3 linked regions of the Alligator mississippiensis genome follow. The protein of the gene in region 1 purifies or fractionates together with the protein of each later gene. This does not show direct contact. Links are inferred from orthologs where the notes say so. Each region holds a gene or a part of one and is shown on either strand. Other genes may lie near its edges.

Region 1 (8,042 bases):
TATTAAAGAGGCCGTCCTTAATGGACTGGCCAACACCAACATCCTGAGGGATAGCCAGCATGGGTTTGTTGTGGATAGGTCTTGCTTGACCAATCTCATTTCCTTCTACAACCAGGTGACCTATCACTTGGACAAGGGAGAAGAGATTGCTGTCCTATATCTTGACTTCAAAAAAGCCTTTGATCTGGCATCCCATGATCACCTCTTGGTGAAACTGGCCAATTGTGGCCTTGGGTCCACCACAATCTGCTGGCTGGGAAATTGGCTCCGTGGTCAGACCCAGAGGGTGGTGGTTGACGGAAGTCAATCGTCATGATGCCCTGTGACCAGTGGGGATCCCCCAAGGCTCTGTCCTTGGACCCATATTGTTCAACATCTTCATTTAATGATGTGGACATTGGAGTCAGAAGCGGACTGGCCAAGTTTGCCGATGATGCCAAACTTTGGGGCAAAGTATCCACACCTGAAGACAGGAGGGCGATCCAGGCTGACCTGGACAGGCTCAGCAAATGGGTGGACGAGAACCTGATGGTGTTTAACATTGAAAAAATGCAAGGTTCTTCACCTTGGGAGGAAAAACCTGCAGCATCCTTATAGGCTCGGCAGTGAGACTTGGGGGTCATGATTGACCACAAGATGAACATAAGGCTTCAATGTGATGCTGCGGCTAGTAAAGCGACCAAAACGCTGGCTTGTATCCATAGATGCTTCTCAAGCAAATCCTGGGATGTCATTCTCCCCTTATATTCAGCCTTGGTGAGGCCGCAGCTGGAGTACTGTGTCCAGTTTTGGGCTCCACAATTCAAACAGGATGTGAAGAAGCTTGAGAGAGTGCATAGGAAAGCCACGTGCATGATGAGAGGTCAGGAAAACAGACCTTACGATGACAGGCTGAGAGGTATGGGGCTCTTTAGCCTGGAAAAGTGGAGGCTCGGGGGTAATCTGATGGCCACCTATAAGTTTATCAGGGGTGACCACCAGTATCTGGGGGAAAGTTTGTTCACCAGAGCGCCCCAAGGGATGACGAGGTCAAACGGTTATAAACTACTGCAAGACCGTTTCAGGCTGGACATAAGGAAGAATTTCTTTACTGTCTGAGCCCCCAAGGTCTGGACTAGCCTGCCATCGGAAGTGGTTCAAACACTTACATTGAACACCTTCAAGAGAAATTTGGATTCTTATCTTGCTGGGATCCTATGACCTCAGCTGACTTCCTGCCCCTGGGCAGGGGGCTGGACTCGATTGATCTTCCGAGGTCCCTTCCAGCCCTAATGTCTATGAAATCTATGGGGCGGAAAAAAACCTCCAAGCAAAATAAATTGAATCTCTAGCAAGGCAAGGCAGAGGTCCAAAGGAGTACCTACAATACAAAGAACAGATGGTGGGAACACCAGGCAAAGGAGATTTAACATCTTGCTGGTATCCACAAGATACGTGGTTATTTTTAATGTGACCCAAAGCTATCTACAGTCTGAGCACTCAAGGACCAAACCCTTTGAGACCTAAGATTGGAAGAGACCTGATCAAGGAATGGGGAGCCATCAGTGCCCATTGGAAGGAGCATTTTGAAGACCTCCTCAATTAAGACACTGTTGTTGATGAGAGGTGTTCTCCACTCCATCCCACAACACCCAGTCAAAGAGTATCTTGGAATCCCTCCAACCCTTGATGAGGTGAGGAAATTCATCAAGCAGGCCACTGGAGTTGATAGAATCCCTGCTGAAATCTTCAAGCAGGGGTTGGGGGACAGGGGCAGAGAGGCGCTCACGTCACAGCTCCATGCCTTCCTCACCATTCCAAATCTTTAAGATGAAGTGCCAGGTGACCTTAGGACTACCATGATCATGACAAGAAAGGTGACAGGTCTGACTATGGAAACTACAGAGGGATCACCTTGCTATCCACCACAGGAAAGCTTATTGCAAGAACCCTCCTGAACTGTTTCCTTCCACTTGATGAAGAGCTCCTCCTGGAATCTCAGTGTGGATTTAGGGCATTAAAAAGCACAACTGATATGATCTTCACAGCTCACCAGCTGCAGGAAAAATGCTGGGAACAACATAAACCTATCTACATGGCCTTCTTTGACCTCACAAAAGCCTTCAGCTCTGTCAACCAAGAAGTGCTATGGAGGATCCTTCTGAGATCCCACTGAAATTCATCACCCTTCTTTGCCCGCTACATGAGTGGTTTTCAGTAACGGATCTATCACTGCTTGAGGTTAAGATGGGAGTTAAGCAAGGCTGCATCATCACTCCAACACTGTTCTTGATTTATTCCTTGTCATGATGCTACATCTGACTACCACCAAGCTTCCAGCCAGAGTAGAGCTAAACTACCAAATGGATGGTAAACTGTTTTTAATCCCAGACAACTCTGAGCCAAAACCAAGACCAATCGAGCTTAATCCTCAAGCTGCAGCATGCTGCTGATGCTATAGTCTGCGCTCTCTCGGAAGCAGACCTTCAGGCAATTGTCAACATCATTACAGAGGCATACAAGAAAGTGGGACTGAAGCTTAGCATTCAAAAGACTAAGGTCGTCCAACAACAAGCTCTTAATAGTAATTCAGATTCATGGTGAAACTCTTGAGAATGTTGAGTATTTCCTGTACCCCAGAAGCATTTTCATGTCAACCTCCTGTATTTCTTGTCACAGGAGGTTGACATGAAAGAAATCCAACATCACCTCAAATGTGCAAATGCAGCCTTTGGATGCACTTAAGGAAACAGGCGTGCAAAGACTGTGTCATCAGATCCAAAACCAAGCTCATGGTTTATCAATCAGTTATGATCCCCACCTTTTTTGTACAGAGCTGAGACTTGTGTGGACAATGTAGAGGAGACTCCTCAAGTCATTGGAGAAATATAATCAATGCTGCCTGCAGAAGATCCTTCAAATCCAGTGGGAAGATGGACCGCACCAACATTTTCTGGCATCCTCTCGCAAGCAAATACTATGAGTACTGAAGTGATGATCATCTGACACAAACTTTGTTGGGCCAGCCACATAATTTGGATGTCTGACACTTAATTCCCAAAGCAAGTTTTATTCTCTGAGCTCAGTCAAGGCATATGCTCAAAAGGAGGGCAGAGAAAGTGCTTGAAGGATGTCCTCAAGGCCAACTTGGAAAAAATGCAACATTAGCAGCAGCTCATGGGGAAACTATTGCCTAGGACCTCCCCAAATGGAGGAAGAGTTTGCTGCAAGAATCTCAATACTTTGAAACCTTATGACAACAGGAGATGGAAAAGTGGGAGTCGCAGAAACAGTGCATCACAGACAATCAAGAATCTGGAGCCACCTACCCCATGCAGAAACACATGCCTGAGTTGTGACAGTCTGTTGATCCTGCATTGGCCATCTTCAGACCCACAGATGAGATATTAATGGAAGACAGCTGTCCTTGACTGCGATGGATCGCTGAAGAAGGGGACATGGCTCTGGCCCTCTACCTAGGAGCCCTTAAGCATATATAGATATTTCATGAAAATGGGATGTTCGCTGCTGTGGTTCCCCTGCTTTACCTGGGGCTGGTTAGGGTGTTGGGTCAGGACTGACAGTAGTCTTGTGTATATGGAGTTTAGATTTTGGATCGTATGGGATAGTTGGATACAGATGATCCTGCCTCAGGCAAGGGGTTGGCCTAAATGATCTCTGGAGGTCCCTTCTTCTGTATGTGTGTACATCTGTGTGTGTGTGCGTCTAAAATAGCTGCATCTTAGTTGGGATATAAGGCATACCCTTCTTGAATTCAAATCACTCATTCCTTCCTACATAGCTTTCTTCTGTCCTGTCATAGTATCTGATGGAGTGAGCTTGATTTCATGAAAGCTCTGAGTAGAAAAGGGGTAGGCCTTGCATCTTTGCATATAAAGTACACCTCTGCTCTGCCTTTGGCCTGACTTGAGACTAAAGATGACTCTCTGCTCAAGGAGTTAACTTGATGTCTTCCTGCAGGCTGCAGTTAGCTGCTGCTGCCTCCTACTCCTAGCCATAGTGCTGGCCTGTGCAGCACTAACCTCTTAAAGAAAAGAAAAGGGTGTTTTTTTTGGGGGGGGGCACAGAAGAGAAAACAGGTAAGCTGCCCCACGGGGCCTCTCACACTGGTGGCTTTGCCTCAGGCCCTTCGTCTCTCCAGCTTTGCTGAACACCACCACGGCTGCAGGACTGGGCTTGGCTCATTTCTCAACCCACCAGTCACAACCCAAAAGCGGGTTGCAAGAAAGGGTTGCAAACAGACTTTAAAAACGGAGTCTCCTTCAAAGGAGAAAAAAACATGGGACACCATGGATTTTTTTCCCTTGCAGGCTGGCAGAGATCCAGCCAGCAAGGGGCTACTTGCCCCCCTCCCCAGCCACCCTACACAGTGGGGGGGCAGCGGGTCCAGAGTGAGGGGCGCTGGGTCGGGCCTGGCCATGCATGTTTACAAGTGGGTCCTGGTACAAAGCCGGCTGAGAACCACTGCTCCGGGGCGCCAGGGCCCTCATCCCATGTGAGGGGAAGGGAGGGGAGGGGGGCTTCATGGTCTGCAGGCTTCTAAGGGCTGGAGGTGCTGCGCTCCCTAGCGCCGCCCCGTGCTCGCACCCCGCCTCACAGCTCAAGCCCGCACCTTGCAGCCTGGAGCAGTGGCCGACCGCGCAGGCCCCGCAAGAGCTGGAGGGGGCGGGGCCAGAGCCCGGAAGCTAGCAGCCTGCGGCACGGGGCAGCCTTGACGCTCTCCCCCACGCCGCGCAGGGAAGCAAACTACGAGTCCCAGGATGTTGTGCGGCCAGACTGAGCGTTCCTTCCGCTGTCGGCGTTTGCAAAGCAATCTGCCTGGCGATTGGCGGGCGCGCGGGGGCCGGCGGCCAACCAGCTGCCCCGATGTATTGGGGACAGTAAAGCTAAGGGGGCCCGAGGTCCCGCCATGTGAGTGCAGCGGGCCGGGCCTGGCAGGGTGGGGAGCGCTCGGGGCGCAGGATCCCGGCGATGGCGGCCACGGAGCAGGAGCAGGGCGAAGTAAGGGGCGGCCACGGGGCCGGGGCTGGGGATGGGCTCGGGCCCCCTTGGAAGGAGCGCGGGACTCCCCGGGGGGCGGGGCGTGGAGCCCTGCGTCACAATCGCTGCCGCGGAGATTCCACGGTCCCGTGGGGGGGCGGAGCGTGGAGCCCTGCGTCACAATGCCACGGCGGAACCCGCCCCCCCGGGGTTCTTCCCCGACAGGCCCAGCGAGGCCCTTGGGAGCCCTGGGCTTCCCCCGCGTCTGGGAGGTCCTGGCTGCGGGGGGCAGGAGCCCTCTCCTGGGGCTGCGCAGGACGAGCCTTGGGTGCAAACAACTGGCACTAGGAGATGGATCCGTGCACGGGGCCCCTGCTCCCCTTTACATGTGTGACACAGATGATGGGCAAACTGCACAATAAATGTGGTGCAAAGTAACACTTATGCCATCAAAATGGCCATCCTATAAGACCAGCCACTTACTGGGTCAGACATCTTGCCCAGGGTCCTGCATACTGTATCTTTGCCCAGTCTCTTGGGTCCATGTGGGCACCAACATGTGGATAAGGGTAGCAGGGAGGTCCTGGGACCTAAACTTAGGCAGCTAGGTAAGAGATTGAAGTCCAGGACCTCTGAAAAGCTTCTGGTGCCATGCCTGGGGCCAGATAGGCAGGCAGAGCTCCAGTCTCCTGATGTGAAAGAGCCAACCTGCTCCCAGGGTAGTGCTTGACAGCTCCATAGCTGGTTTCTATCCAGCTTTCATCTGAACACACAGCAGGCCCTGTGTTCTGTGGCTGTTCTGCTCTTGCTCCTCTGGGCGGCAGAAAGATGCCCGGGCTCAATGACCAGCGCTAAAGAAAATCTCATGCCACTGCAAGCACCGCACAGGAGAGAGATCTCGTGGGTGCAGAGCAGTAGGGCTGCTGGCAGTGCTGACTGGTGGTGATGTTTCCTTGCTGGCTGCTGCTGCTGTGAGCTCCTTTCTCCCTGTGACTGCATGTCTGTGCTTCTGCTCTTCTCTCCCTTGCCCCTCTCATTGCTGAGCCTCAGTGTCTGTGCATGAGCTCTTGGCAACAGCATATCTCCTAACTTCCTTAATCTGTGTCCAAAGCACAGCTAATCACTCTTCCTTCTCCCCTCCATCTTAAAGACAGGCCTTTTGTGCATCCCCTGATTTGCTGTCCCTGTACTCTTGCATCTCTTTGCTGTATGGATATAGCTGTACAAATAGATCATGATGAAATCACAGGGGGAAAAGGACTTTGACTGATACTTATTTAATACTTGAAAATGAAAGTTGTCTGGTTTTCCAGTGCAGCTCCTGAGCCAAAGTCAGCCCAGGGAATGTGATGGTAATAGAGTGTACAGCTTTTACTTTGTTAGAAAATGCACCTCCTTGCTTCAAGGCCATTTTTTGATCCACTGTGTCCCAAGCTGTATTGGGGAGGGTTAAATAGCATGGAGAGCAGCAGCTAGTTACTGAAATAGATCATTTGTGCTGACAGCTCCTCTCCCTGCTGGGCCACCCTGATGACAGCACAAAAAATGTTTTCTAGTGGGTGTGAAGAAGACCAACCACTGGACAGGAAAGTGAGTGAAAAGGGGTGGTCTCTCTCCTTCCCTATGAATTCATACTGACCCCTCCCCACTCAGGATGGTTTCAGGCATTCTGGCTTCTTGCTCCTGGGTCACAGAATCATAGAAAAGTAAGGCTGGATGGGACCTCTGAAGGTCTTCTAGTCCAACCCCCTGCCCTATCCAAACCATCTGGTACAAATCCTTGTCTAACCTGTTACTAGAAGTACACAACCCTGTTGCACAACCACAATGCACAGCACCTTAACCTGCCACAGGTAGCGCAGGGGAACAAGGGTGGTCCAGTGTCCTGTTGCAAGGGTTGTTAACATGCTCAAGAGATCCTAGGAAGAGGGCCACGCGCCTGCTACAGAGGAAGGCCAGAACTCCCCCAGCCCATGCCAGTCAGGCCATGGGATAAAATTCCTTCCTGATCCCAAATGTGATCATTGGTCTGGCCTGGTGTGGAGGGGCAAGACCCTCTAGTGAGGAACCTCCAACTATTTATTAGTCCCAGTAGGAGCATTGGTACACCCAAGTCAAAATCCCAAGCCTTGGCTGCAGCCACTTCCTTATGCTTGTGAGGAAGGCAAAAAGAAAATTCCCTGAACAGGTGCAGTAGCAACAGAAGTGGGGAAATAAATTCCTTCCTGGCTTCATGCAGTAACCAGTGAAGCCCAGAAACATGGGAAATAACCATAACGAGCATAGGCATAGCTATTTCTAGATTGTTCCTGATTCATGCTTATCCAAACTCTTGAAAACCTCCAATGATGGAGATCCCACAATTCCCTAGATAGTCTATTTTACTGCCTCAGTGCTTTAACAATGAAGTAATTCTTCCTGATATTTAATCTAAACCTACTTTGCTGCAGCTATAAGCCATTGGTCTGCCTCCTGCTCTCTGCTTCCAGTGTCTTTCCTGTGGTTGCCCTTCTGTGACTATGAATCTTCTTTTCGTCTGGGAGAGATGTGTATGAGGGGTAAAACATTAAGGAAATGTGGAGCTGGTGGGAATTCTTCCTACCAGGGAAGCTAGTGCTGGCTCAAGGGTCTGGTCCTGGTATCCTGTGATTGCCACAGCCAGTGACTTGCTCCTGAGGGCCAGGCTTTACTGCATAAGGCAGGGATGGGGAACGTCCGGCCTGTGGGCTGGATCCAATCAGCCAGGGACTCCATTTCCCAGCTGCCCCTGCCCAGATGGCTTGTACCGGTCTTTATGGAGACCTCTCACGCCAGCAGCGTATGCGGCAGACAGCACAGGGGGCTGCTCCATTGCTGCCAGGAACGTGGGATGGGGGCAGCTTGCTGCGGAGCTGCGATCTGTAGCCTGCTGCAAGGAGCTGGGGCAGAGCCACGATCCCCTGGATGTGTGCCTCTGCACAGAGCGTGCAGGCTACAAATCATGGCTCCGCAGCAAGCTGCCCCCGTCCCACATTCCCATCAGCTCTGCTGGCATGGCTGAGGTCTCCATGGAGACCGGCACA
Region 2 (8,286 bases), on another chromosome or scaffold:
CAAGCGTGACAACTCTGCTCAAACACAGATAACTACTCTGGGTAGGCCATCTGAGCAGATTGGAAGATGGACGCACACCCAAGATCATGCTATACAGGGAACTGTTGGAGGGAACAGGAATAGCAGGATGTCGCAAGCGGGACTGGACACAGGCACCAGCAAACTGGGGACTTAGACATGGTAATTTTTTTATTGTTATCATCATCATCTCTGGTGAAGCGGGGCCCAATACTAAAAGTTTGCCTGGGGCTGCCAGGTGTCTAGATACGGTGCTGGTCCCAAGCTTTGCTACGAAGATACATGCAAGTGAGATATGAAGGCATTTGGAATTGATCCTGACCAGTAGGAAACCTTGGCAAGTGATGGGAACAAGTGGCATCGTTGTCTCCACCAGGGCATCAAAGTCCACAACAGAAATTGGCTCCAACAACTTGAAGAGAAAAGAGCCAGTAGGAAGCAAGCAGCTCCCGAACCACCCAACCATAACATATACATTTGTAACTGCTGCCACAGATCACACAAATCTCAGATTGGACTGTTCAGTCACGTGAGACACTGCAAACCAGCTACATCATAGGCTGCAATATCCACTGTCTGCCATAGACAAAAGGATGCCAAAGATGTAACCTGTGGAAAATAATAAAAATGACAGCAATAACAACAACAGTGTTTGCAGGCCAACATGTTCTAATATGGGTGCTTGAAGCCAGGTATTAAATTATAAATGATTTGCCTTCTGGAAATGCTGAACACCCACTTCAAATATTCCAATAGGTATAAACATTTGCATTAAAGTGTGTTCACATGCAGCTGGTTTTCTTCTGGGATAATAAAACTAGGAGGTTTCATTTATTTTCCTGCACAAATAGAAAACCCTCTTTTTGCAACACTTGACTTGCAAATGCTTCAAAGAAAGATTTTAATCCAGTATGCTTAGAGACACTTTGCTTAAATTATTTTAGTTAGTATTCCATTAAAAAAATAAAGCCGTCTTACTTTTGCAGGATAGGACACTCAGGTCATGCCAAGCTTTGATTGCTTTTGCAACCTTAGACATTTACTTCTATTTCAAAAGAGTTATAAAGTTTTGTAGTGTGTTGTCATGGTGGGGTCCTGCAGGAGGGACCTCGAGGAGATCACGGCCCTCGCTCCATGTCAAGGCCGGCCCAAGGCACCCTCTAATTCTCGCCTGCCACGTCTTTGATGTTTGTATATAGTTGGGAGGCTGCCTATGACTCCCTGGGCACAGCTACTCGGGACCTCTGTCCTTGTGTGTTCCTGGACCCCCCCTGGGGGTCTCCCGGTGTAATGGGTGCTCCCCAGGCACCCTAGCCTTATGGGCTACGCGTGGCTCCTACCACCCCTAATACCAACGCCTCAAGCCTCGCTGATGGGAAAGACGTTGTCCGGTCGCAATACACGCCTGCTTCCTCGGGTCCTCTCCTGTAATCTAGCCCACTCTTGGGCCTTCTCCATGTGTTTCTCTACTAGTGCCCCTTCCTGGGCTCTCTCTAATACAGTGCCCCTCACTGGGACTCTTGAGACCCACTCTGGGCCTTCTCTAAAAGTGTGGTCCTGCTCAGGGACCCTCTAGCGGGTCTCCGGTCCTTTAGGCCAACCGCACAGCTACCCTCTCTGATCCCGGCTCACCGCACTGCTATCCCCTTTCTCCGGGAACCACCGCAGCACCTTGCCTTTCTCTTGGGGCATCGTACTACTAACCCCCTTCTGTCGGGGTCCATCGCAGCACCCTGCCCCTGTCTGAGGGCTGTTGCCGCACTAGCCTACGGCCGTGCTCACTACGCCTGTCTTGGGCCCCTCAATAATACCGCCCCCTCTCCGGGGCTCGCTGTGCCCCTCTGGGCTCCTCACTAATACCGCCCCCTGTTTGGGGCTCTCTACACCCAGCCTGGGCTCTTAAAAATGCCCCTCCCTGGGGCTGGGGTCTATGCACCCCGCAAGTGACGCCCTTGCTGGCGTCTGCTGTGCCCGTCCTGGGCTTCCTAATATGGCACTCCCCCTCTTCAGGGCTCGCCATGCCCACCTTGGGCTTCTCAATAGTCCCCCCCTTTCTCGGGGACTCGCTGGGCCCACGCTGGGCTCCTCTAGAGTGCGCTCCCCCTTTCTGGGGCTCGCCACATCTACGCTAGGGCTTCCTAGCAGTGCCCCCTTCTGGGGCTCGTCATGCCCACACTGGGGCCTCTCAAAGCTGCCCCTCTCCGGGGCTGGGGTCTACGTACCCCGCACACAACCCAGGGTCTCTGTTCCCCACCTGCAACCCACTAGTTGCGCTCCTTGCCGCCAGTTGCGCCTTCACTGGCGCTGGGGTCCCCATACCACTGGGGTTCCCCCTTAAAGTACTGTGCCCTCACTCAGGCACTGGGGCCCCCACACTCCCATGGGGCCCTTTATGAGGACACTGTGCCCTCCTCAGGTGCTGGGGTCCCCACACTCTCTGGGGTCCCTATGAGGATAATGCACCCTCTTGGCCCTAGACTGCGCCCTAACTGGCGCTGGGGCACCCCACCCCTATGAGGCCTCCTCCAACCCTTACAGCCTCACCCAAACCTCCGGTTTAATATCAAAGCCGAACATAAACTCGAGCCTCCTGGCTATAACTCAAACATAAAGCCTCCTGGCTAAACCATGGTGCTCAAACCTCTCAGAGCTGCCATCCTTCTCTCAGCTAGAGCAGTTCCTACATTGCTCAGCTCCTAGCTCCAGGAGCTTCTGCCCCTCTGACTGCTAGCAGGGAACTGCCAGCCTGGCCTTAGCCCTGGGGTTTATAAGGGCCAGGCCCTGCCTCCTACAGGCAGCTGGCTCCCCTTAGTTGCCCCGGTAACCCGCAGCTGGCTCTTTAGGTCCTGCCAGGGTTCTCTCTCTCTCCCTGGCAGTTTCTCCTCTTTAGGAGCAGGAGCACCGAGGTGCCCTGCGACATGTGTCAAAAATAATTACTGCATTTCACGGTGGATAGGCCAACACACTGTAGGTTGACGCAAGGCTTTCCGATCTGAAAGGTAAGGATTTTCATAGGCACAGTGTATGAATTGGGGCTAGGCTTATCGCTCTACTGGCACAGCCCCATCCCCTGTGGTGCAGCCCATGGTGTCACTTGAGCCTGGCAATGCTCACAGGACAGGGGCTGGCCTGGGCTCACCACTCAGCTGGCACTGCCTCATCCCCTGTGAGTGGGGAGCCCAGCCACAGGGGATGGCCACCACAGCCAAGCGCAGCCCTGTCCCTGTCCTCATCCCCTGCAAACAGCACTGGGCTCATGGGATGGGGCTGCACCAGCCAAGCACCAAGCCTGGCCCTGTCTGCTGCAAGTGGCACTGCTGAATGCCAAGCCTGGCATATATCTCTAAATACATAAAAGATGCAATCTAAACACACAAATCCACATATGCACACAAATCCACACGCACATGCATGAATCATGATAGATAGATGCACATATAAATGCATATATATGTATAAATGTATATAGGATTTACATGCTGTCCTTCCCAACAGACTTTATCTTGCTATAGACTACTCTGAGCCTGTCTGTAAATAAGGGTGTAGGTTGTAGCTGTTGGTCTAAGGACATACCCAAAGAATTTTGTCTGCCTAAATCCCATGTATCTTATATTAGACCAACTCAAATAATTGGAAAAATTCTGCTTAACAAGCTTTCAGGCACAAACACCTTTTGTCAGGCTGAGGAAGTGCCTGCAGATGGTCTGTGCTCTTCCTGGATGGAGTGGTAAAGCAGCCATAGGCCACTCCATCCAGGAAGAACAGACTATCTGCAGATGCTTTGTCAGCCTGATGAAGGGTGTTTGTGCCTGAGTGCTAAGAAGAATTTGTCCAACTATTTGAGTTGGTCTAATAAAAGATACGGGATTTATCCAAAGAATCTTGTCTGCCTAGGCCTGTAGATACGGATTTCCATGCTCCCTTTGTCAGTGAACGCCATACCCGCGGGTACTCAAACATTACAGGGATGCTTATCTTCCGGACTAGCCCCCAGGGCATCATTTGCTGACACCACCGGCTACCTGACCAGGAGGGGGCCCACAGCACAAGACGCACCAAGGATCAAGCAAGCCACAGGAGAGGAGAGCGAGTACGTGCTTGCGTGAGAGAAACGCACCCACCGCCCTGAACCCACTGCCCGGTCGGGGGGGGGGGGGAATCGTCCCAGGACCGCGCCGGGCGCATGCGCAACCGCCTCCGCGCCCCCATCTCCGCGCGTAGCCTTGGCCTTTAGTCCGGAGCCGCCGGGCGCTATCAGGTCACGTGCCAGCGTGATGCCGTCATGAGCCCGGAAGCGGCCGGAGGTATTGGAAGCAAGAGCAGCAGTAGCAGCCACCGCCGGAAGGAAGCGTCCAGGCTTAAGGGAAGTGGGAGTGGGAGGGGGCAGGGGCTGCGCGTGCGCGCTGGTTGGGTGACGCGGGGCCGGTTGCCAGGGCGGCGCGGCTCAGTATTATGGGATGTGGCGGTGGAATGGCGCGGGGCGCGTGATTTTGAACAAACGCGGAGCCGGTCCCTGGTGCTGCCGCCGCACGGGGCAGGGGGGGCGCGGCGCGGCGCGGGCCGGGGGCGGGGCGGCCGCGCCCGCCTGGTGAGTGACAGCGCGGGAGGACCGTGGGGGACGCGCAGCGCGGGGGGGAGGGAGAACTCGGCCTACGTGCGCCGCCGACGCAGCCGCTTCCCGCCCGGCATTGGGCTGCAGGGGCCGGCCCGGGTCCTCCCTGCCCTGGGTCGAGCCCAGCTGCGGCTCCTGGAGGCGAGGCGGCTGCTGTCGGCCTCTCCGCGCCGCTCGTCCGCGGGCAGCGGCGTCGGGTCCCGCGCGCTGCACCGCTGTCACGTCCGTGCGGAGCTGGGGGGCGCTGCGGGCTGCTCTGGCTCCGTCGCTGCCGGGAGGTTGCTCTGGGCTCCCGCCAGGGCCGGTGCGAAGGGCGAGGAGAAGCCGCCCCGGCTCCGCCGTGCCGGGACACCCCCCGGCGGCTTCTCTCTTGCGCTCTCCGGACAGCGGGCGGTTGTGGGGACACTCACTCACTCACTCGCCCCAATTCTCTCCCTGCGACCCTCATCAAGGTCATGGGGGGGCGCGCGGGGGCTGTTGTGCCGCCGCCCGCTGTGGCGGGCTCCCTCTCCCCGCCCCCAGGCCCGGGGCGGGGCGGTGGCGGCGGTGACGAGGTGAAAATGGCGGATCTTTCGAAATCCAGTCCCGGGCCCTGACGGAGCAGCCGCTGCCCGGGACCCCTCACTGCAACCGAGAGTAACGGGCAGGAGGAGCCTGCGCCGGGCTGGGCCGTGGAACCGGGGTGCTAGCGGCCCAGGCTGGGCCACTACTTGTGTTGGGCCCAGTGCCTTGTACCCGTCGCCGCCTCTGGGGCAGGGGGCCTCTGCTTTGCCTCGGTGCAGGGTGGTTGCTGGCAGTGCCCTGCTCCCATTGAGCATTGGGTCTTTCAAGCCCTGTTCCGACTTGCCCCATCCCCTCCTGCTGCTCGTTGTCCTGCTGGCAGGTGAGTAAAGCTAAGCAGCGGCTTGTGTTGAAGCCTGCTGGATGGGTTGGTATTTTTATCAGAGGGCAGTCTTTTTTCTCTTCTTCTTGCCTTTGGAGGCTGGCTGTAGCTCTGCAGGGGTAACAGGCTTCAGAAGGAGAAGGAGGTAAAGTGAGTTTGCCATAGTGAGTAGGGGGCCCAGCTACATATACTGAATTACCCCCCCAAAAAAAACCCTGATGGGGATTGGGTGTATGGCTCCTCTTGAGTAGGAAGTATGGTGCTGGCAGGGACTGGCTATATTGCTTCCCTTGTGTAGGGAGCTGAGTGTATGCTGTTAATCCACAGCATCACAGGTGGCATTCTTGGGTTTTGTGCACATGGCACCTAGCCAGGTTTCAACTCTGTTTCCAGCGTGTGGCAAAGACTCGGCAGTGCTAAGCACCCATAATTCCCCATTGCCCAGCACTTTGCAGGATCAGGCTCCAAATTATAGCCCTAACAAAACAGGATAGCATGATTATAATGTACTTTGGTCTCATTGTATCTGTGCGTTACTCTGTGCTTCTGAAATGCGTTGGGTGTTATAATACACTTCTACTATACAGTAAAAGTGAGAGCTCATGTTGGCTCCGAGACCAAACTGTCAGATATTTATGTGACTTTCTGGAAAATATCTTTTGAATGAAAGCCTTTTACATGTCATTTTTTAAGGAAATTTTCCTTATAATGTCTAAAATGTCATACTTGGCATGGACTTTGCCCTTGGTGAAAGCAAGTTTTTTGTGTGTGTGTGTTTATTTTCAAACTGAATCCTTTCAATCTGGAATCCTTTGATACATGTGGATTTCTGACTGTTTGTTTTTCTTTCAAAGGTGGAACTCTTCCTTGAGCCTGCATATCTCTGCATGTGAAATAATACCTTTTTGTTTTGGGGCATCAGGAATGATGCAGTTTCATGAGGAATTGCACTTATAGGCCACGTGAAACAGCTGCTAGACAGTAGTCTGAACAGGAGGAAAACACTGAAATGCATGCTGCTTTCTCTTGTCATCTTACACATTGAGGGTTAAAACTTTCTGTCCAGGCTCAAGTAGTATTAGAGATGTTAAGTCTGTTGGTCTCTGTGATGTTCATAAGTACTGTTTAGGATACAATGAACTATTTGAGAGTTCAAATTCCTGCTGAACATGATACAGGAACTAGCAACAAGTGACTCTTATTAGGTAAATTGCTTAACATTACCAGAATGTGTTTACATGCTATAGTGATGAATGCATTCTATGAACCCATTAAGAATGGAATGGAACTGGGCGTTCAAGAATGGTGGGATGTTTGTTTGAATAATACATTAATTTTTTTAGGCTTTAATACTTTGCTCCATCAAAGTTATGTTTGACTACGTATATTACAGATGTCAGTATTTCCCCCCTCTATTTTCGATTCTTGCATTATAACAAATTTCAGTAACTTCCTCTCAACCCTTAAACATGTTTGTCGTACCAGCTTAGACTGATCAAAATTTTTCCTTATTAGTGGTTAATATCTGTTGCAGTTGAAATGGTGCTTGAAAATTCTACCAATCTTATTAGCCCAAGGGTAGACATGAAAGCTGGGAAAGAGAGAAACTCTTGGATTTGTACCTGGAGGATGTCCCTGGTTTCTGACAACAGACTCAGTCTTTTGCTCCAGTTCTTGGATTAGAATGTGACTTGCACTGTTTATGAAAGAGCTTCATCAAGCTATTTAATCTTTATCTGTTGAAGGATCATCTCAGAGTTAAATTCAGATCTCTTTGTAGCCCTTAACTCCTGGTTTTGTTTCAGGTGTGTGTGACTTTAGGGTGGTCACTTAACCTTTCCCTGCTGGAGTTAATGCATTTATTAGCTCTTCCCAAATATTAATACATTATACTGACAGGAACCATGTAAATATCTACAGAGAAGAACTTCTGGGGGTTGTTTTAATTTGTTTCAGCAGCCCATGAGAAACAGGAGAAGAGAATCTCTATTCTATTTCATTCCTACCCTTTGTTTTCTGGGAGGTCCTCATCTGAATAACTCAGTCTGTCTCAGCTGCTGTTGGTAGTTCTGCTCAGCAGCTGTGTGGAATTGATGGGATTCACTGCTGTCTACAGGGTTCTGAATACATCTTCAACATCCCCAAATATAAATCCTAGTCATTGGGCTATCAACTGTTCTGGCATGGCATTTCTAGTTCTGTTCTGAACCTGAAAGAACTTTCTGCTAAACTCCTTGTAAAAACTAATGCTACTGCCAAAAAGTTTTTGTTTCTTTTAATCGGTGCCTCCCTTCCTGTGAAAAAACTGTTTTGTTGGAAAATTTGTACTTGGCTCCAGAACAGTGATTCTCAACATTTTTTTTTTTTTAATGTTAAACTTGAGGCATCCCTTGATAACACTTGTGAATTGTGACACCCCATTTAAAAACCTAATTGGTTTATTACAGTGCTTACCTCCTTGCAAGAGATTTTAGGTAAATGGAATGCAGGGGTTCAATCTGCCTGTCCTTACCTGCTCACTTCCAGGCACCTGGAGCCTGTACCTGCCCTTATCTGCTGAGTTCTTTGCACCTTCTTATCTGCTCACACTTTTGATCCACCCTTCAAAGGATCTTGTGGTATACCGGAGTACCCTGGCATCCTGGTTGAGAATCACTGGGCCAGAAGTGTATCTGTCTGTCTAGGTTTATTCTTAGTTAACATTAAGCAGGTTATCTAAGACTATATTTGTTAGGAATTGAAAGGGAATGGGTCCACTCAGTTTTTCTGAAAG
Region 3 (7,662 bases), on another chromosome or scaffold:
AGTTGTGTCAAAGAACTGGTTAGATCTGGATATCTTTTTCTTAACCTAGTTACAAACAAGACTCCAATTTGCAATACAGGAAAAGTTAAAAGCTCCAAAAATGTAGCACTCAGCAGGTACATCTACACATGCAATTAATGCAAACAAATAAACTCTGGCACACTTTGCACCATAGTATACTGCTCCCAGGCAAAGCGTCCACGTGTGCCTGGGACAGCAGCACTTTGAGCTGGGGCAGAGTTGGCAGGGACATGGCGGGTCAGCCCTAGGCTCTGGGTGGCAGCATCGGGAGGCAGAAGTGCTGGCTGGGGTATGAGGGTTCTAAAATGAGGGGCTAAGTGTCAGGCAGCCCCCTGCACTTTAGCATCCCCATGCCCCAGCCAGCCCATCACCACCTACATGTGCCTTTTGGCAGAGCAAGTAACTGCACTATGAAATAGTAGTGTCCCCAACAGTACTATCTTATCGCAGAGTTAACTTATTTACTGTGCTCTAACACCGGTGCACGTCCAGATAGTGATGCTTTACTGCAGAGCTAATTAGTATAACTGCAGTAAAGCACACGTGTAGATGCACCCAGTCTGGACTAAAGCCTCTGAAGCTCTTTAACCAGGCTGAAGTCAGAGGTGCCTCCAAGATGTTAACCTGATTGCTAAACCCAGTAAAGGTCCAGTCTATACGAAATGTTTAAACAACGCATACAGCTAGTTTAGGCAACGTGTTACAGCTATATTTCCTGACCCAGCTGTATTTATAGTATAGGCTACGGAATTTTTTTCTGAAAGCGTCTCAGTGATTTAGGAGCCAACGTTCAATTTTCAAAGGTACTAAAGTCCCATATTGGGAGTGAAATGGAATTTAAAGGCCAGTTTTCTTAAAGCAACCACTAGGTACATAAGTCACCTTTGAAAATTTGTGATTCAGGCTCCTAAGGTAGGCTCCTCAAAGGTATTAGAACCCTGACTCCCATTCATTTCAATGGAAGGTTGAAGCCAAACATCTAAATATCTTTCACAACTGTGTCATAGTGACTTTTGAAAATTTATCCCAGAACCACAGACACTTTCTTAGAACTCAGTACCCTCTGTCATCACTTTTCATGTTTTCTAGCTAGCTTTCATTCCATGTGATCTTGCTTGTGGCCAGTCCAATTTGAAATAGTGCTGAGGTAAGATTTAGCAAGATGATAAAATGTTTCACTAAAATCAGGATAGAGAAATAGCATTCTCTTTGCCCATTGATCTTCATTCTTAGAAAAGGAATTGAGTTTGTCTGGTATGATTTATTGGTTATAAAACCATGTTGCTTCTTACTCATAATTCTGTTTCCACTAGAATTTTGCAGATTTTTAAATCTTTTTTCCTTACTTGCTATACAGCATTCTATTTTTATGTATAAATATATATTGTAAGAACAAAAATAAATATATAATTCACAATATAGAATATATCATTCTTATATATTTTCTTGTGTTGAAGATATGGCCTGTAATTATTAGACATCATAGTACATGAATAACAGGCATCTGTTTCTCGTTAATCGACTAATAACTATGGTCTCTGACCTGCAAATGCTTAAAAAACAGACTTAACTTTATGCATGAGTAGTCCTGCTGAAGCCAATGAGATTCCTCATGGGTATAGAGTTAAGCAGGTATATAGGTGTTTTAGGTTTGGGTGCCTATAGAAAAATGCATCATTTGGCATTTAAGTTTATTTAGCTCAGGATATGGTAGTTTTTTCATAACAAGAAAGTTTCCTTAATTTATCATCTAAATATAATAGTATTCCAATATAAACAGACCCATCTTTTCAATTAGTTATCAAAAATGCTGAAATGAGACTGTAAGGCTTTTAATGCAAGCATGCATTAGGCTGTACTTGTGATGTTGGTTACCTCTGGAATTTTCTCCATGGTTTTTAATGCACTCTACCCTTTTTTACATATTTTATTAATTTTTTTTATACAGCATTACCATCAGCCATGTCTTTGGAAATCCTCCATATCAGCTGGAAGAACAGAAGAACAAATGGCAGCGTTCTGCTCATGCAAACACTGCCAGCATTTAAGCCACATTTATGCAACACCAACTCCCTTGGACCGGACATGTTATAAGGATTCCTGACAACCGGCTCCCAAAACAAGGATTATACTCCCAACTCACCGATGGTCACTGCTTTAGAGGTGGGCAAAAGAAGTGATTCAAGGGGCATGTCTACATGAGATGCTGACCGCGCAGTAGCTAGGTGATATGTAGGGAGGGCACACGGGGCATGTGCCCTCCAAGACTGGCCGCCGCCAAAGCTGCCGATGGCTTCTGAGGCAGATTGCCACTCGCCACCTGCCCCCCACTCGCAACCAATGCAGCTGCGGGCAGTTCCCACTCGCCACCCCTCCCCCCTACTGCCACCGGCATCTGTGGGCGGTCCCCACTCGCTACCACTGACACCTCTGCCGGTGTCTGCGGGCAGTCCCTGCTGCCACCTACAAATGGTACCCCCACTCTCAGGAGGCACCAGTCATTCATGACAGCACAGACAGTACTAATACGCTACTGCACAGTATTATTAGTCTACTGTGCAGTAGTGTCACCTAAAACATTTTTGCCGGTGCTACTGCGCAGTAACTCCAGTTATTGTGCATTTATTTAGTACTTGCTAATAAATACTAAATAAATGCGCAGTAACAACTGTGATGTAGCATCTTGTGTAGATGCATCTAAAGACCCTGTAAAAGCTAATCTGAAGAAATGCTATATTAACATCAACACCCTGGGGACTCAAGTACTAAACTGTCACCAGTGTCACTGCGATGTACAAGGCATCAATCATTTTAAGCAAACTTGCCACGCTATGGAAGTGGATGGATGAGAGAGACAAAGGCAAAGAGCTGTGACCTGACATCACCAGGAATACTCCTTCCTCTCAGACCTATTTGCCATGTCTACAGGTGAACATGTGGATCTCAGATCAGCTTCCTCAATCACCTACAGACTCATTGATTGCTTCCCTATTTATTGGAAGACTCTCATCCTCATATCGAAGGACTCCCAACAACAACATATGTCAAACAAAGGCAAAGAGAAATGAGTTTCTAAATATCCTTATTGAAAACCCCTTTCTTAATTATGCCCACGTTTTAAGAAATTTGAACATGTGTTCTTCCTTCCATGTAACACCTGGATGTCTGAAAGTGATTTCCATTGACTGCAATGACAAATAGTGGTGAAGACAGCTTGTCCTATCTCCAGGTTTTCCTGTCAGTAGGTCTGTTTCACAACTAAAGACATTGCTAATTAATATAATGAAACTGGTCTTATTTCCATTTTAGACATATGATAATCACTTTGCCATTACATTTTTTGCTCAAAAAATGCCAGGATTTATTAGTAAGTAGTAATTTTGAGCTTCCTCGCACTTATATGCGAACATAAGCTGGGTGTAATCTTCAATGAAATGCTAAGAAATGGTTAAAAAGCAATCAGGGCTCATGGTAGAGGTGATAGCTTTTATTAGACGAACAAGATTTTTGCACAAAATTTGTCTTTAATTGCAGTTACAGAATTTTTGCAAAAATCTTGTTGGTCGAATAAAAGATATCACCTCTACCATGAAATCTGATTGCTTTTTCCTTTATATCAATATGGCTAGTGGATACCCGACATTTCTTAAAGCATTCTTTATACCAAGAAGTCTTCATTTAATTGGTTGTGTTGGATATAGTGGGCATTTTCTTCTTTTTTTCATCCTGTATCTTGTAACCTTTGCCACTTAGTTCTCTGGCTACAAAAATAATCCGCTAAAACGCTCAAAAGACACAATGACGGGTATCTGGTCTATCCACGCAATTCTTCCATGGAAGTGACTGGTCATACGTGAACCAGCCCGTGTTTAAGAAGTTCTTTGTCTCGGAGAACAAATGTCGCCCTGGACACTTATGCCAGAGAGTCAATGCAAATGGCGCCTCTGCTTGCTGAGCTGGTGCAGCTTGTGGAGAGGCTGCCTGTGGCTTGGGCCACGCCAGGGTTTGCTGTTGGACACTGGCCTCTCTGGATTATTCATTCTTCTTATGAAACAGGCCCTTTTGAGTGCTGACGCCACACACGCAAGTGGCTGTGTCAGTGGGTACAGGTGTCTGCCCCACGGCTGCCATCTTGTCGGCTCTGGCATGGCAGGAGGCTTCTTGCCTGGGGGGGGGGGCTCAGTGCGGAAAGGTGCTGCGGGGCCGTGTCAGGCCGGCAATGGGCGGCCGGCGCGTGCGCAGTGCCCCTGCCCGGCGGGAGGGCTGTGCCGCTTTCAGACGGGACAGGAGGGTCAGAGGCTTCGGTGCTACTTCTTCGCCGCCCCCACGCAACGCTCATGGGGAGGGGGAGGGGGAGCGAGAAGGCGCAGCCGCAGCCACCCAATGAGGAGCGCGCGCCTACTCGGCCCACTCGAGAACAGCGTGTTTCCCTCGCGCGAAGGGCGGGGGAAGGGCAGGAAGGGCGTGGCCAATCTGAGGGCCGGAACGCACGTCACGCAGCTGCACAGCCAATCAGGAGCGCGCTCTCCAGGGCGTCGCGAGGCCAGCCTGCCCGCGCGCCCGGAGCCCCTTGCCTCGCGGCCCGCCGGCCGGTCACCGCCGCCTGCTTCCTCCCGCCCGGCCGCTGCGTCGCGTCGGCACCCCGCGGTGTGGGGGCGGGGTCCCGGGGGCGGGCCACGTGACGGACCTGGCAGCCAATGAGGAGAGCGGGCGGCGGCGCGCAGCACGCGAGGGTCTCCAGCGCTGCGAGCGGGCCGCGTGGCGGATCGGCGCCGCGTGGAGCCGGCGGCGGGAAGCAGGTAGGTGCTGGCGGCGGGGCCCGGCCCAGCCCAGCCCAGCCCATTCCTCCCCCATTTTGAAGTTTTATTCGAGGAGGCGCCGTGCAGTGTGCGCGTCACGTGACCGCGGCGGCCCAATCACACGTGACCGCAGCCGGGAGCCTGCCCGCGCCGCGCTTGAGGCCACGGGATGGGCCGGGCCTGCCCCGCCTTCTCCTCTCGCGAGCAGGGGGCCGGCGGTCACGTGACGGGCGCCCAGGCGGGGGCGGACAAGGGGCTGGAGCGGCGCCGTATCCGGGCATTGCGGGGGTGGGCTCGACCCCGGGAAGTGGCTATGCCAGGAGTCGCTCCGGGCCGCGGGGCTTCGCGGCGTAGGCGACCGGGCAGGACTGGCAGCCTCGCTTGAGCCTGAGCGCCCGGGGCCGCCCTCACGCGCCTCGCGGGCAGCGCTCCCCGACACGGCCTCGGCCTCGGTCTCGGCTCGTGCGGCGGCTCCGCCCCGCCTGGGCGCCGTTCCAGCAGCTTTCTCGCCGCCCCCTGCTGCTTCCCTTGCAGAGGCTGGAGCCAGGGGTGTGGCCGCCACGCAGCAGCGCGGGGGTGGGTCCGCCTCCGGCAACGCGGGGCGGCTCCACCGGAGCTTGCTGCCCTGCTCCTGTCCCTTCCTTTTCCCTCGCCGTGGGGAAGGGCAGGGATCTGGGAACAGTAGTTGTCGGTGGGGATTCCCCCTCCTCCCCACGCAGTGGCACCTAGAGCTCTTCTGTGCAGGATTTGTGCCTAGTCAGCGGGAAGCAAGTCCAACAAGGAGGCTTTCTTGCCTCCTCGAAGGCACTCAGGGGCTGGCACAGACTGTACTAGGATCACCTGCACCTTGTTCTTTTTTAGGTTGTTTTTTTTTTTTTTAACCATGAATCTTGCACATACAGGACTAGATACTTAACTCTTAACCATGATGGAGAGGGGATTTCATAGCAGCCTTCAACTACCTGAAGGGGGGTTTGAAAGAGGCTAAAGCTAGATTGTTCTCAGTGGTGGCAGATGACAGAACAAGGAGCAATGGTCTCAAGTTGTAGCAAGGAGAGTTTAAGTTAAATATTAGGAAGAATTTTCTCACTAGGAGGGTAGTAAAACACTGAAACAGGTCACCCAGAGAGGTGGTGGAACCTCCATCCTTGAAGGATTTTAAGACCTGGCTAGACAAAGCCTTGGCTGGGATGATCTAATTGGGGATGGTCCTGCTTTGAGCCCCAGAGGGTTGGACTAGATGTCCTCCTGAGGTTCTTTCCACCCTCATTTCCAATGATTCTATCTACTTTTTCTTTCTTGGGTCAATTTTATAACTGTATTTGGGGTGGATGTTCTTATTAAGTTACGTCACAAAAAAGTCACAAGTGATGATTAGGTGTAGTCTATCCATAAAATTTTGAGGGATAAGCAAAGAGTGGGGGGTGGCATGTCTTGGACCAGAGGTGGCCAGTTCGTGGCATGGGCAGCCTCTGTGTATGGCACCCTCCAGATCAGGAGGGAGCAGGCAGCACACAGCCAATAGGGCAGGGAGCTTAAAGCAGAGCAGCAGCACAAGTAGGGGGAAAAGAGATCAGAATGGCACATAAGGAGAGCACAGGGCTTAATTTGTGGTAGCCCTGCCAAAAAAGTTGGCCCCTCATTGTCTTGAACTATCATGTTCCTGTGATTGTGAATTTTCTGGGTAGTCCAACCCTTAGAATCATGTTCATTTTTTCTGAGTTGAGCTTTGGAAGGAAATGTATGGAAATGAATTAAGGAAAATGAAGAAAATAAAAAGAGGAACACCCAAAAACAGCAAGGAAAAGGAACAGAGAAGATCAGAAAGTGAGGGCTAGACAAGGAGAAAATAAATGAAGTGTTTCTGGTAGAAAAGAATCTGCTGTCCATCGCAAGAACCCCTACCTCCAAAAAAGCCAATTTTGGAGGTGAGGAGTAGAGCAACAGGGGAGAGCTGAATTAAACTGTCCTATGTTGGAACGGTGTCCTAATCTGACACATCTTTCAAGAGTAATTCTTTACCCTTCCTGAAAGCCTTCCATCTAGTGATCTGCAAGTGCTTTGCAAACACTACACCTCATTATCTCTGTTTAATAGAAGGAGAAACACAGATGTGGAAATGACTGCTCTGAAATTAAAAGGAATAAATCAGTGATGATGATGAGGAAGAAGAAAGTACAGTTCTCATCTCTTGACACCAGCTTAGGGCTTTCATGAAAAGACTGCTTTTCCAGGTTTTTTTCCAATCACACTAACAAGGTATAGTCTCTCTTCCCATCAGCTAAGGAGTGGTAGAGAGAGAGCCTACCAAAGCCTTTTTTTTGGTGGGGGGGGGGAGGGTTTTTTGAGTGGGCTTGAGTTTATTACTCTACAGCAACAGTTTGTTGAATGGTTACTTGGTCCTCAATACCAGTGAGCTATTTTTCTGTTAATCTCTGTAACAGACTCCCGTTCCAGGTAGCATGATCCCCTGGAAGCCCTCTCAGCCCTTATCAACTTTGCTCTCTTTGAGCAATTTCCCTTTTCACTTTCCTGCCACACCTTGATGTATTTATCTTTTAGAAAGTGGGAGGCTGCCTCATGGCTCCCCAAGTCTGGTCTCACACTTTTGAACACGTGTGTCAGGTCTGTGCTCTGTTCATCCTTATAGCAGGCCCTCTGGGTTTTAGGGACTCTGGTCCCCTCAGTCTCTGGCTGTGGCCCTCCTGACTGTTGGTACATCCTAGACTAGTTGAGACCTATGGGTTCTACAGCCCTGCCCACCTCCAGCTGTGGCCCTTCTTGGCCTTTGGCCCCTCCTGAGCCCTGGCCCCACTCTTAGGCCAGTGAGACTTATGGGCAG

What was found.
Region 2: the proteins of L3MBTL2 (region 1) and LIN54 purify together in Homo sapiens (affinity purification with mass spectrometry; 3 studies listed by BioGRID and IntAct, counting the BioPlex papers as one, with this or other methods). This does not show direct contact. The link is inferred for Alligator mississippiensis from reciprocal best matches to the Homo sapiens genes L3MBTL2 and LIN54.
Region 3: the proteins of L3MBTL2 (region 1) and MGA purify together in Homo sapiens (affinity purification with mass spectrometry; 3 studies listed by BioGRID and IntAct, counting the BioPlex papers as one, with this or other methods). This does not show direct contact. The link is inferred for Alligator mississippiensis from reciprocal best matches to the Homo sapiens genes L3MBTL2 and MGA.

What each region holds. Positions count from the first base shown.
Region 1 is NC_081827.1:97,502,348-97,510,389, reverse strand, and holds the start of L3MBTL2 (lethal(3)malignant brain tumor-like protein 2), read left to right. Parts: upstream 1-4,870; 5' UTR 4,871-4,971; coding exon of another isoform or gene 4,972-5,001; intron 5,002-6,485; 5' UTR 6,486-6,510; coding exon 6,511-6,570; intron 6,571-8,042. UniProt on the Homo sapiens protein: Putative Polycomb group (PcG) protein. PcG proteins maintain the transcriptionally repressive state of genes, probably via a modification of chromatin, rendering it heritably changed in its expressibility.
Region 2 is NC_081825.1:146,548,714-146,556,999, reverse strand, and holds the start of LIN54 (protein lin-54 homolog), read left to right. Parts: upstream 1-4,784; 5' UTR 4,785-5,513; intron 5,514-8,286. Other genes in the region: COPS4 (COP9 signalosome complex subunit 4), read right to left, coding at 4,136-4,227. UniProt on the Homo sapiens protein: Component of the DREAM complex, a multiprotein complex that can both act as a transcription activator or repressor depending on the context. In G0 phase, the complex binds to more than 800 promoters and is required for repression of E2F target genes.
Region 3 is NC_081825.1:239,075,029-239,082,690, reverse strand, and holds the start of MGA (MAX gene-associated protein), read left to right. Parts: upstream 1-4,315; 5' UTR 4,316-4,820; intron 4,821-7,662. UniProt on the Homo sapiens protein: Functions as a dual-specificity transcription factor, regulating the expression of both MAX-network and T-box family target genes. Functions as a repressor or an activator.